Linked DNA regions of Sus scrofa. The protein of the gene in region 3 binds, or shares a complex with, the protein of the main gene of each other region. Links are inferred from orthologs where the notes say so. Each region holds a gene or a part of one and is shown on either strand. Other genes may lie near its edges.

What was found.
Region 1: the proteins of G3BP1 (region 3) and CAPRIN1 are in contact, whole or in part, in a crystal structure (PDB 8TH7), measured with the Homo sapiens proteins. The link is inferred for Sus scrofa from reciprocal best matches to the Homo sapiens genes G3BP1 and CAPRIN1. Residues at the interface, in NP_005745.1 of Homo sapiens: Glu4, Lys5, Pro6, Ser7, Leu10, Val11, Glu14, Phe15, Arg17, Gln18, Thr21, Leu22, Met29, His31, Arg32, Phe33, Tyr34, Gly35, Lys36, Gln58, Lys59, His62, Leu114, Glu117, Asn122, Lys123, Phe124, Tyr125; in NP_005889.3 of Homo sapiens: Met363, Gln365, Met366, Gln367, Gly368, Pro369, Tyr370, Asn371, Phe372, Ile373, Gln374, Asp375, Ser376, Met377, Leu378.
Region 2: G3BP1 (region 3) and IGF2BP1 share a complex: the UniProt entries of both Homo sapiens proteins name them as parts of the TAU mRNP complex. The link is inferred for Sus scrofa from reciprocal best matches to the Homo sapiens genes G3BP1 and IGF2BP1.

What each region holds. Positions count from the first base shown.
Region 1 is NC_010444.4:26,872,512-26,876,871, reverse strand, and holds the start of CAPRIN1 (caprin-1), read left to right. Parts: upstream 1-1,446; 5' UTR 1,447-1,658; intron 1,659-2,222; coding exon 2,223-2,438; intron 2,439-4,360. UniProt on the Homo sapiens protein: mRNA-binding protein that acts as a regulator of mRNAs transport, translation and/or stability, and which is involved in neurogenesis, synaptic plasticity in neurons and cell proliferation and migration in multiple cell types.
Region 2 is NC_010454.4:25,224,309-25,227,955, forward strand, and holds part of IGF2BP1 (insulin-like growth factor 2 mRNA-binding protein 1), read left to right. Parts: intron 1-1,026; coding exon 1,027-1,075; intron 1,076-1,587; coding exon 1,588-1,639; intron 1,640-3,647. UniProt on the Homo sapiens protein: RNA-binding factor that recruits target transcripts to cytoplasmic protein-RNA complexes (mRNPs). This transcript 'caging' into mRNPs allows mRNA transport and transient storage.
Region 3 is NC_010458.4:71,249,143-71,252,183, reverse strand, and holds the end of G3BP1 (ras GTPase-activating protein-binding protein 1), read left to right. Parts: intron 1-1,012; coding exon 1,013-1,219; 3' UTR 1,220-2,493; downstream 2,494-3,041. UniProt on the Homo sapiens protein: Protein involved in various processes, such as stress granule formation and innate immunity. Plays an essential role in stress granule formation.

The DNA.
Region 1 (4,360 bases), on a different chromosome or scaffold from region 3:
TAAGATTATGCATGCCTGACTCCCTATTTCATTCAGCAAAAGCCCAAGTCCTAATAATGGCCTATCAGGCTTTACCTGACTGGCCCTCTTTGTCTTCGACCTCATCTCCTACTCTACTCTAGTCACTGTGGCTTTCTTGCTCTTCCTTGAACCCACCAAGCACATTCCCAATCTGAGTTCCTGGCACTTGGTTTTCCTGCTACCTGGAAAATTCTTCCAAGTGAATGGCCCTCTTCTTCAACTTCTTCGGTCTTGGCTCAAGGGTCATTCTAAGGCTTCTCCAGCCCACCTTGTTTCTTCTCTACCACTTCACTATCTGATATGCATTTATCTTCTCCCCACTTAGAATGTAAGCTCCATGAAGAAACTGTTTTGTTCACAATCCCTAGCACTCAAGAGTTCCTAGCACATAGTAAGGTGCTCTGTATTTGAAGACGAGATAACAGACTGCAGCTAACTGGAATATCTTGAGTCTGGAGGCTGCTGCTGTGTTTCTCTGGGCTCCCTCAGGATACACTGTTGCCAGCCAGTATTACTCATTTCATTCTCTAGGGAGCGGCGGGTTTGGTAGGCTCCTTTTCTAAATCCCTTCTATTATGGAATTTAAATTATAAATTGGTCATTTACTGTTGTCATACATCATGTGGCTGAATTTTCCACTGATTATATTTTTTTAATACACTTTCTTCTAGCCCTCAGCTGCTTTTTGTTCATTCTCCATAGCCTTATTACAATGCTGGAATAATTCTCTTGGAGCAGATAAAAAAAAAAAAACTGTGTTTCATTTAACATCTTAAGTTTTAGGTAAATTTAAAAGGAAAAAAAAATCTGATTCGTAATACTCAGGCCTCTTAGGTACCTGTCATCTTAAGGTAGCTGAAGATAATTTTAAACATGACGAGTCCAGAGTTTTAAGACAAAAACAAACAAAACCACCCAAACCCAAACATCCATCTTGCTCCTTTCTAACGCGTTTACACAGAACTCCTGGGTTACTGAGAGATTGTTTTGTAGGGGAAGCCGCAACTTGTCCTTAGACATTTTGGGGGTGTGGGAGTTTGCTTGCTCGCCGTACAGAAGGAATTCTAGAAGCTGGGATTGCACCACCCACCCCACACACCCCTTACTTGCAGAAACCTTTGCTCCCCCCCCCAACCCCCACCAAATAAGGGCTCCTCGCCCGGCAGTCGCCAGCTCCAGATCCAGCTGCTTGACACCTATTGTCCCTGTTTGGACGTCAAGCGACTTCGCCTGAAGGACCCTAGCTTTGATTTCGCTCAAAACTCAAGGCACTGCTCCGGCAGCCTCTCAGAGGCTGTTCCGACCTGGGCTGAGTGGCCAGCCCCCAGGCTAGGGTCTTGGGCAGGGGTGGCGGGAGGCTGGGCAGGCCCTTCCCCGCAGGCGTTCGCGCCGGGCAGCCCGAGCGGCAGCGAAGGCCCCCGCCCGCCGCTTCTCCCGCCCCCTCCGCCCCAGAGGGTTGGCTGCCTAAGTCCCTCCCGCTCCCAGCTCTCCGCCTCACTAGCAGCGGCTCTCGGTGCAGCGGGGAAAGGGCGAAGCGGCCTGCGCCCACGGAGCGCACGACACTGCCCAGAACGCACCGCCACCCTTGCCCCTTCAGCCGCCCCCTCGGGATCTCCAGCGGCCTCCGCGCGCGCACGGTGAGCGCCACCCCGGACTGAGGCGCTGAAGGGGAAGAGGGCCGCTGCCCCGAGTGTCCTTTACCTCCGGACTAGCTGGACTTTCGCGAGGGGCTTGCTCCTCAAGTCACCCCACCCGCCCTGGTCATTTCCAGTGCCCTTCTCCACCCTTCTCCGCCTCTCAGCCCCGATCGCTCTCTTCCCTCCCGTCCTCGCAGGGCGGCGAGGGCTGTCCCTTCCCTGCGGGGACCGTTGCACTGGCCGTTGGCGGCCGGCGCTGCGAGGCCCCGCCCCCGGCGCGAGCCTCGGTGCCCCGGGGCAGGTAGGCCGAGCCGGCGGCCGGCGCGGGGGAGGGGCGGGGGGCGGCGCGAGGCCCGGCCGGGCGCCCCGCTGGCGGGTCGCGCGCGCGCCCGCGGCCCCTTCCTGCCCCGGCGGCGCGCGCGCGCCGGCCCCGTCCCCACCCCCACCGCTCTCGCAGGCTCCCGCCCGCTGCGCGTTTTGTCCCGCGTCTCGCCCCGTCCGCCGCCTGACTCGCCGCTCTTGTCCTTCCTCCCGCTTTTTCTTCTCTCCCCTCACGGTCTCAAGATGCCCTCGGCCACCAGCCACAGCGGAAGCGGCAGCAAGTCGTCCGGACCGCCACCCCCGTCGGGTTCCTCCGGGAGTGAGGCGGCGGCGGGAGCCGGGGCCGCCGCGCCGGCTTCTCAGCACCCCGCGACCGGCACCGGCGCTGTCCAGACCGAGGCCATGAAGCAGATTCTCGGGGTGATCGACAAGAAACTTCGGAACCTGGAGAAGAAAAAGGTGCCCGGAGTTGGCGGGGAAGGGAGGGTTGGATGCTGACCCTGACTGCTGTAGCCTTCACGCTCCGCGTCTCGGGCGCTTCCCTTCCTCCCGGTCCCCACCCCCCACGCCCCGTCTCCCCGCTGGAAGTGGAGCTTCGTGCCCAGAAAACGGGCTCCGCGGGGAGGTGCTTGTCACCTGACCCGGACGTGGCGCTGGCCCCCGGGCTCCTTATTACTCTGCTCTTGCCGGGGGCCAGGCTGTTGGCCTTTGGGAGTGCGATGTGTAGGGGTGGGGGCCTGTCCGATCGCCGTGTGTGTGTGTGTGTGTGTGTGTGTGTGTGTGTGTGTGTGTGTGTGTGGTGTCCTTGTCTTCGTGGCCGAGGCTGGATCCGCGGGGGTCAGCGGGGGAAATGAGGACTCTCTGTGGGGAGGGCTCAGGCCCAACCGACTGCCTCGTGGAGTTGGGTTGTCCTACGTCCTATAGCCTAGGGGCTCGTCCGCCCCGTTACCGTGTACTTGAGGCTTGCGCAGTGGCCCCTCTCCTCCCTCGCAAGGGAAGTGTTTTTAGATCTTAAACTAGACTCGCTTCTTCCTCAGGCTCCCCTCTAGGAGCCTTCGACTTGTTCCCTCGCCCCCATCTCACGGGCGCCCCTACGTTTCCTTCTTTGTTTCAATTGTCTAGGTCCCCCCCCCCGAACCTCACGCTCAACTCGATCCCGAGAAGATTGTCTGCGGCGGCTTTTTGTCCCTCGGGGACTCTATAAAGAAGGATGGGAGGGAGGCTGCACCGATCGAGATTCGTTAGTCGCGGGGGAGGGGGGGGTCTGGGTTGGACGGAGGGGATCGCTAGGTCTCTGGGCACATGGAGAGCGCGTCTAACATGGCGGCGGCTACGGGGAGAGGGAAGCGCTTTACAGGAGCTGCATTGTGAGCACAAAGCGAAAGCAGAGGGGGAGGGCAGAGACCCGGCAGCCGCCCCGACTGGCCTCCCACACCTCCTCTCCAAAAAAAAAAAAAAAAATCGAGTCACACCCACAAATTTTTGGATTCGATATTTAGCCGTTCTGGGTCACACAGTGAAGTTTATCTTCAAGTTGGCCTTTTGTTTTATGCTTTCGGCGCATGACTGTGCCAGCTCTGTTTAGAGGGACACGTGTGTGCGCGCCCCTGTGTGTGTGTGTTTGTGTATGTGTAGAGAAAGGGTCTTGGCAGAAGTGAATAATTCAACATTGGAGGTGGGAAGGGAAAACAAATCAGTAGTTTAAAAAAAAAAATGAGGTAACTAACATCTATGATTATTACGCAAACTTTTGCCTTTTACCTTAAAAATAACTCCTTTAATAGCTTCTGTTTATCTGCCTCTAGTAAAACATTTATTCTAACATCTTGAGTGTTGAATAAGTCGTTTAAAAATGTTTTTCATTCATCCAGTAGTGTTACTTAAGATGTTGAAATAGTAACTACTTGGCTAAAATTTGGGCTGTGTGAAGAAAACTGATGATATTTAGGCCTTCATTACTTTAATTGCTTATTATTAATTTATTTTACATTTTGGGGGGAGTTTTAAAACGTTTTTAGAGTTGTTAATTCTGTCTCAGGTCCTATATTTGGGATTTCACTTGAATTTTATTTGAGGCTAAGAGATGCACTAATCGTGGATTTCTACCTTTGGCTTATCCTTTATTTTGATTAAACAAGTATGGTTTATTATAAATGAAATAATAGATTTATCAATATTAACAAGCAACAAAAGTATTTTAATTGCAAAGTAGCTATGTTCAAATGTGTAATAGGAGAAGCATGCCCAAGACCAGTATCTCGAGTCTGCCATCTGATTTAGTTTTTGCTGCTCTATTTGAAATTGAGACTTAGGCACCTTTTAAAAGGCTCTTAAGGCAATGGATAATCCTTTCAATCTGTTGATACTTACATAGTTGAATT
Region 2 (3,647 bases), on a different chromosome or scaffold from region 3:
CCTTTGCTAAGCTCTTGATAATATTATCTAACATCACTTTATACCTCCTGTGAATGGCTATTATCCCTGTTTTACAAACGGGAAAACTGAGCCTCAAAGAAGTTAAATAGCTTTTTAAAGATCAGTGCTATTGAGTGGAGCACAGGTTTAAATCCATATCTGTACCAAAAGAAAAAAAAAGGAGTTTAGCTGCTGCCTATTATCCTGCTGTAATTTGTTTGCATACATGTTTCCCCTAATAAATTGTGAGCACCTTGAGACCAGGTAGTTTGCCTTTTTTTTTTTTTTTTTTTTTTTGTCATTTTGCCATTTCTTGGGCCGCTCCCTCGGCATATGGAGGTTCCCAGGCTAGGGGTCAAATTGGAGCTGTAGCCACCAGTCTATGCCAGAGCCACAGCAACACGGGATCTGAGCCTAGTCTGCAACCTACACCTCAGCTCATGGCAACGCCGGATCCTTAACCCCCTGAGCAAGGCCAGGGATCAGACCCACAACCTCAGGGTTCCTAGTCGGATTCATTAACCACTGAGCCATGACGGGAACTCCAGTACTTTGCTTTGTTTATCACTATGTCCCCAGCAGGTAGAACAAAATCCGGCATGAGGTAGGTGCCGATTGAAAAGGTATCAGATAAATGATTCATGGAATAATTTGTGTAGCTAGCTTTGTATTCTTAGAGCCTGTCACACAGTGGGTTATAGACGGTTACTGAGTAAGAGAACTAGTGAGCAACTAAGAGAGATACACAAAGCAGATGGGACGGGGCGGGGGCGGGGGGGCTTTGGTTTTCCTAGCCTATAGGGCCTCTGATTTGGCCTTCCCATCTGCGGTAGCACTGACAGTAAGCAAGCCCCCCCCCACCACCACATCTTCACTCCCAAAGGTTATCATTCTTCAACTCTAAGGCTTTGGGGTTGAGCAGCAGAAAACAGGAAGGTAGACTGGGATAAGGATTAAAACCCACACGGTCATGGGCCCCTAAAAAGCACCCAGAGCTGTCACTGACACTGTTCTCTCTGATTTCAGGAGTCGGAAAATACAGATCCGAAATATTCCACCCCAGCTGCGATGGGAAGTAAGTGATCGGGGGATTCTCGAATCGGTGGTGTGGGGTCATCACAGAGACTGGGAAGGGAGTCTGGGTCAGCCTGCGTTGGCAGAGGTGACGGGGAGGTGTCCTGGTGGCTTGGGGCTGAGGGGAGACTGGCTGGGTCTCAGCCCTAACCTCAGGCTTCTGTGTTTGTTCTGTCCCTGTGGTGAGAGGCCTGACGGAAGTGGGAGGGGCAGTCCCTGAACCCCAAACTTAGTAATGACAAAGGGTAAGTTAGGGACCCGCGTGGCACAATCCGGCTTCCAGAAAGGCGCTTAAATGTCTTCTTGAGCTAAAGTATATTCTGCAAAGAAACCCCAACAGGTCACCACCCGCATGAGTCCCCTAGAAAGGGCAAAGCAAGCAGGTAGCTGCTCCATCCCCACACCAAAGGCGCCGCCTGTGCCCCAGTGCTTGGGGATGAGGGGTGTCCAGTGCTGGCTGTATGAGTTCCTGGGGTGCTCAGAGCAGCTGTGTCCCCTTCTCCCTGCTCCCAGGTACTGGACAGCCTGCTGGCTCAGTATGGAACAGTAGAGAACTGCGAGCAAGGTAAGAGTGGGCAGGGGAGGTAGGGCAGCGATGGAGGGGTGGGTGTTGGAGGAGCGAGGGGGGTGTCTCCCTGCTTCGATTTCTGTTGCCAAGTTTACCTCCTGGAGCACCAAGAGAAGGCAGCTAAAACGTGGTGTGGAGGGAGGCACACCGCAGTGTGAACCGGGACGTGTGGTCCCGGCTTCAGCTCTACTGCTTCTCTCTGGAGCAGGTTTCTCCACTGTTTCATAAGGAAAGCAACGAAGTCACTCATTCCCAGCATGGGGTCCCCAGGCTCCTGGGGCCAACCAAGGAAGAAATAAAGGTCCCAAGAGTTTAGGAATAAAATCCACAAAGAATGGAAATGGTGGAGTTCCCCTGCAGCACAGCGGATTAAGGATCTGGCGTTATTCCCAACTGTAGCTCGGGTCACTGCTGCAGCATGGGTTCGATCCCTGGCCTAGGAACTTCTCAATGCTGCAGGTGTGCCCCCCCGCAACCCAACCAAACCAAACCAAAAACAAACCCCCCAAAGCAGAGAATTTATTAATACATATTGATAGGCAGGCAAAATCTTTCAAGAGTGGGCCCACTGAAAAGAGAAATAATGAAAGAATGTAGATGGAAGTTGTAGATAAAAAGTTTGCTATTACTTTTTATCATTTCTCCACTGCTTAAGATGATAAATTTTTTTCAAAGGAAATGAACTAAAATAAAATCTGGAGTGATTTTGGTTGGACATAAAGTACAGCTTGGTCATGAGGTAGACAAACACAGTTTGAGCCTGCAGATCTTTTAAGAAACCTAGGCCAGGAGTTCCCGTTGTGGTACAGCGGAAACAAAACTGACTAGTATCCATGAGGATTCAGGTTCAATCCCTGGCCTTACTCAGTGGGTCAGAGATCCAGCATTGCTGTGAGCTGTGGTGTAGGTCACAGACACGGCTCGGATCCCACGTGGCTGTGGCTGTGGCTGTGGTGTAGGCCCGGCAGCTGTAGCTGATTAGATCCCTGGTCTGGGTGCTTCCATATGCCTCAGGTGCGGCCCCGAAAAGCAAAAAAAAAAAAAAAAAAAAAAAACAGAAAGAAACTTAGACAAGATTTAAATATTCATTTCCAAACTCTGTGTGGAATGGAGCATGATGTAAACCATTAAAAGTGATTAAAATACTTGCCTGCACGAAGGTATGAAGTGTATAATCAATCAAACGGGTTCTCTTCTGCTTCAATCCCACGCCTTGCCTTTTATCACAACTGGAAGCACTGATAATCATTGTCCAGTCCTGCTCACAGCTTAGACTGGCCACTGAGTTACTCCCCTGACAGAGACTGAGCAATGGCTTGGACACACATGGAGAGCCTCAGTAGGTGGCCCGGAAGGAGTCACCACTGGTTAAAATCCTTCCTAGGCTCACCAGGGAGGGATAACACACGTGTCCGCTTCCCAGATAGAACAGAATAGAAAATGTGTGGGGTGTTTTTTGGGGTTTTTTTTGTTTGTTTGTTTGTTTTTGGTCTTCTTAGGGCCACACTTGAGGCATATGGAAGTTCCCAGGCTAGGGTCAAAGCAGAGCTACAGCTGCTGGCCTCCACCACAGCCACCGCCACGTGGGATTCGAGTCCCGTCTGCAACCTACACTACCGCTCACAGCAAGGCTGGATCCTTAACCCGCTGAGTAAGGCCAGGGATCCGAACCCGAGTCCTCATGGATGCCAGTTGCGCTGAGCTACCGCGGGAACTCCTCAAACGCTGCTTTCTAAGCAAAGCCCTTTCTCTTCACCGTTTATGAAATTGTACCTCTGGCCACCACCTCCTTTACCCTGCTTTGTGTTTTGCTGTAACACTCACCACCTTTTCACTTTGAGGGGGAGAGAATGACTTTTTTTTTTTTTTTTTTTTTGGTCTTTTTGCCATTTCTTGGGCCGCTCCCGCGGCATATGGAGGTTCCCAGGCTAGGGGTCGAATCGGAGCTGTAGCCACCAGCCTACGCCAGAGCCACAGCACCGCGGGATCCGAGCCACGTCTGCAA
Region 3 (3,041 bases):
CTAGGAGTGGGCTTGCTCGATCATATGGTAGTTCTGTATTTAGTTTTCTGAGGAACCTCCATACTGTTTTCTGTGGTGGCTGCACCAGTTTACGTTCCCACTGACAGTGTAGTAGGGTTCCCTTTTTTCCACACCCTCTCCAGTATATGTTATTTGTAGACTTGCTAGTCATGACCATTCTAACTGGTGTGAGGTGGTACCTCCTTGTAGTTTTGATTTGTATTTCTCTCATAACTAGTGATGTTGAGCATCTTTGCATGTGTCTGCTGGCCATCCATATGTCTTCTTGGAGAAATGTCTATTTGAGTTTTCTGCCCATTTTTTGATTGGGTTGTTTGTTTTACCATTGAGTTGTATGAGTGGAATTTTTAAGACCTTTTTTTTCAGTTGAGCTGAAATTCCCATAACAAAATTAACCATTTTATTTTTCTTTTTATGGCCTTATCTGTGCCACTTGGAAGTTCCTGGACCAGGGATCAAATCAGAGCTTCAGCTGCCGGCTTATACTACAACCACAGCATCGCCAGATCCGAGCCTCATCTGCAACCTATACCACATGGCATCACTGCTCTGCCAGATCCCCAACCCACTGAGTGGGGCCAGGGTTCAAACCCGCATCCTCATGGATTCTAGTCGAATTCCTCACCACTGACCCACAATAGGAACTCCCCATGATGGAGTTTTATTCTAAGCCTTCAAATCCGAGGAGAAGCTAGTGATTTTGTTTATGTTATTTTAGTTATATAATTATATAGGAACCTAATTTTGCTTCAGTAAGTATGAGAGTTATTTGTGCTGCTGTGTTGTTTAAATGGACTCTTTTGAATCAGCTTGTATGCCTAGCTGCTCTTCCATGTATCTGTTAATGGGGAAATCATGTGTCCAGTGTTGAGACAAAAACTGACATGCGAGAATATAGCTGGTTTGTAAACTGCTGGTTCTTCATTTTGCCTTTAATAGTCTAACCAGGAACCCATAAGCACTCTGTAAGTCTGCTCACCTTTCTTAACAGCCCATCATGTTCAGAGGTGAGGTCCGTCTGAATGTGGAAGAAAAGAAGACCCGAGCTGCCCGGGAAGGGGACCGTCGAGATAACCGCCTGCGGGGACCTGGAGGCCCTCGAGGCGGGCTGGGCGGGGGCATGAGAGGCCCACCTCGTGGAGGCATGGTGCAGAAACCAGGATTTGGAGTGGGAAGGGGCCTTACTCCAAGGCAGTGAATTGCTCCTCGCGCAACAATACAAACCCTATCTCCCACAGAATGGTGAATTTCAACCAAGCTTTGGTATCTTGGAATATGACCCTAGTCTGTCATAAACTGCTTAAGTTTGTACAATTTTACTTTTGTGTTAATGGTGTGTGCCCCTTCCCTCCTCCCTCCCCTCCTCACCTTTTAGTCCTTCACTTCCAATTTTGTGGAATGATATTTTAGGAAAAACGGATTTTTAAAGAAGAAAAAAAGACTGAATTTCCTTGCTTTATTTGCATATACAGACTGGATTTTTTTTAACAGCCACTTCTCCAAAGGAATGTGTCTTGCTTATTACTGACATTTGGTGTGTTTCATTCATTGGAATATTTCTTACTTATTTTCTACATGTTTCGAAAGCTTGTGAGAATTACAGGAATTGATAAACATTTTGAAGACAGGAAAAACCGAAATTGTTTCTTCTTTGAGAGTCATGACTACCTTCTGGTATGGAGTACTTGCCATTGGAAAAATTGACAATTCTGATTCTTGCTGGTGTGGTTAAAAACTGAATAAAAGGTGTTAGTGGATTTTTTTTTTTTTCTTTTGATACGTGATCACAAAACAGTTCCAAAACCTACTGTTTTTACCATTGAAGTTTAAATTGTGACGATAGGTTTTAAATGTCTAGAATGCAACTAAGCTTTTCTTGAACTGTTAGATTATTTTTTTTGAAGTAGGACTTTTTCATGTTTAATTTGTATTTGTAAAAAAAGAAAAAAAAAACAAAAAAATTTGCAAAATCCGAATAACAGAAAACCAGAGCAAAACTGTTGTGCCTTCTATTTATCTTTGATCCCAGTCTTGGCAGTTTTTAAAAGAAAAATAAAAAAAACCAAACAAACAAACCCTAGATTTCTTCCATCAGGTTCACAGTATGTTGGGGATTATAGAATCCCTCTTTCACCCGTATGTCTTGTGTTCTTTTGTTATGCCTTATTCTGAAATTGAGTCTCAAACTGGAATGCCTTTGAGGACAGATGTTTCTGTAGAGGTCCAGCATTTATATTAAGTTTTATTTCAGTGTCTATTCCGAATCCTAGTCATAGCCCATAAGAAGGAATGTGACTTTCATACTGGACTTCGCTGATGTGCTTCAGTGTGCACTAGTCTTTCTTTTCTTTAGATCATAGCCATATGGTAAATTTTCTATTTTGTTATGGTTCCTTTTTATTGACGGGCATGCAGTGGGTGTTTCTTGGAAATGGCCAATTTTTATTAAAATCTTTCTGGAGGAAAATTTAATCTGGCAATATAGACTAATAGTCGTTTTGCATAGTATGTTGTTGAATGTTGTGTGTGAAGTGGGTGAAGGTTTTGTTTATACATGTGAAGCAAGCCTTTGTGTGATAGATAACTTGTCATTACTAATTGAAGGGCAATGAGGTTGTCAAATTTAACTTGTTTTTAACAGTATTCATCTTCAGAACTGTTGTATGAAGATAGTATATGAGTAGGAATAAGAGTGTTTTCTTTTGCTTTGGTGTTACTGGGAAGCTCTAGATTTACTGAAGGGCATGGCGGAAATGAAGTTCGATGTGTTATCAGTTGGTCCTTAGGACCTCAAATATTTGAAAATTGGCAACATCGTCATAAAAAGAAACTTAAGTAACTGAGTCACATGGCTTGTCTTTGAGTCAGTTTAAATGACTAATTGGTAACCACTTCATTTGGCCCAGGCCAGTGATGCTGAAAAGGAGTTTAGCTTATAGTTTTGTAGCTTATATTAAGCTTGTGGTGGAAAGAAGAAAACTTAGCCTGAGTTATTAATTTGAAAAAAACTAAACTGTAGT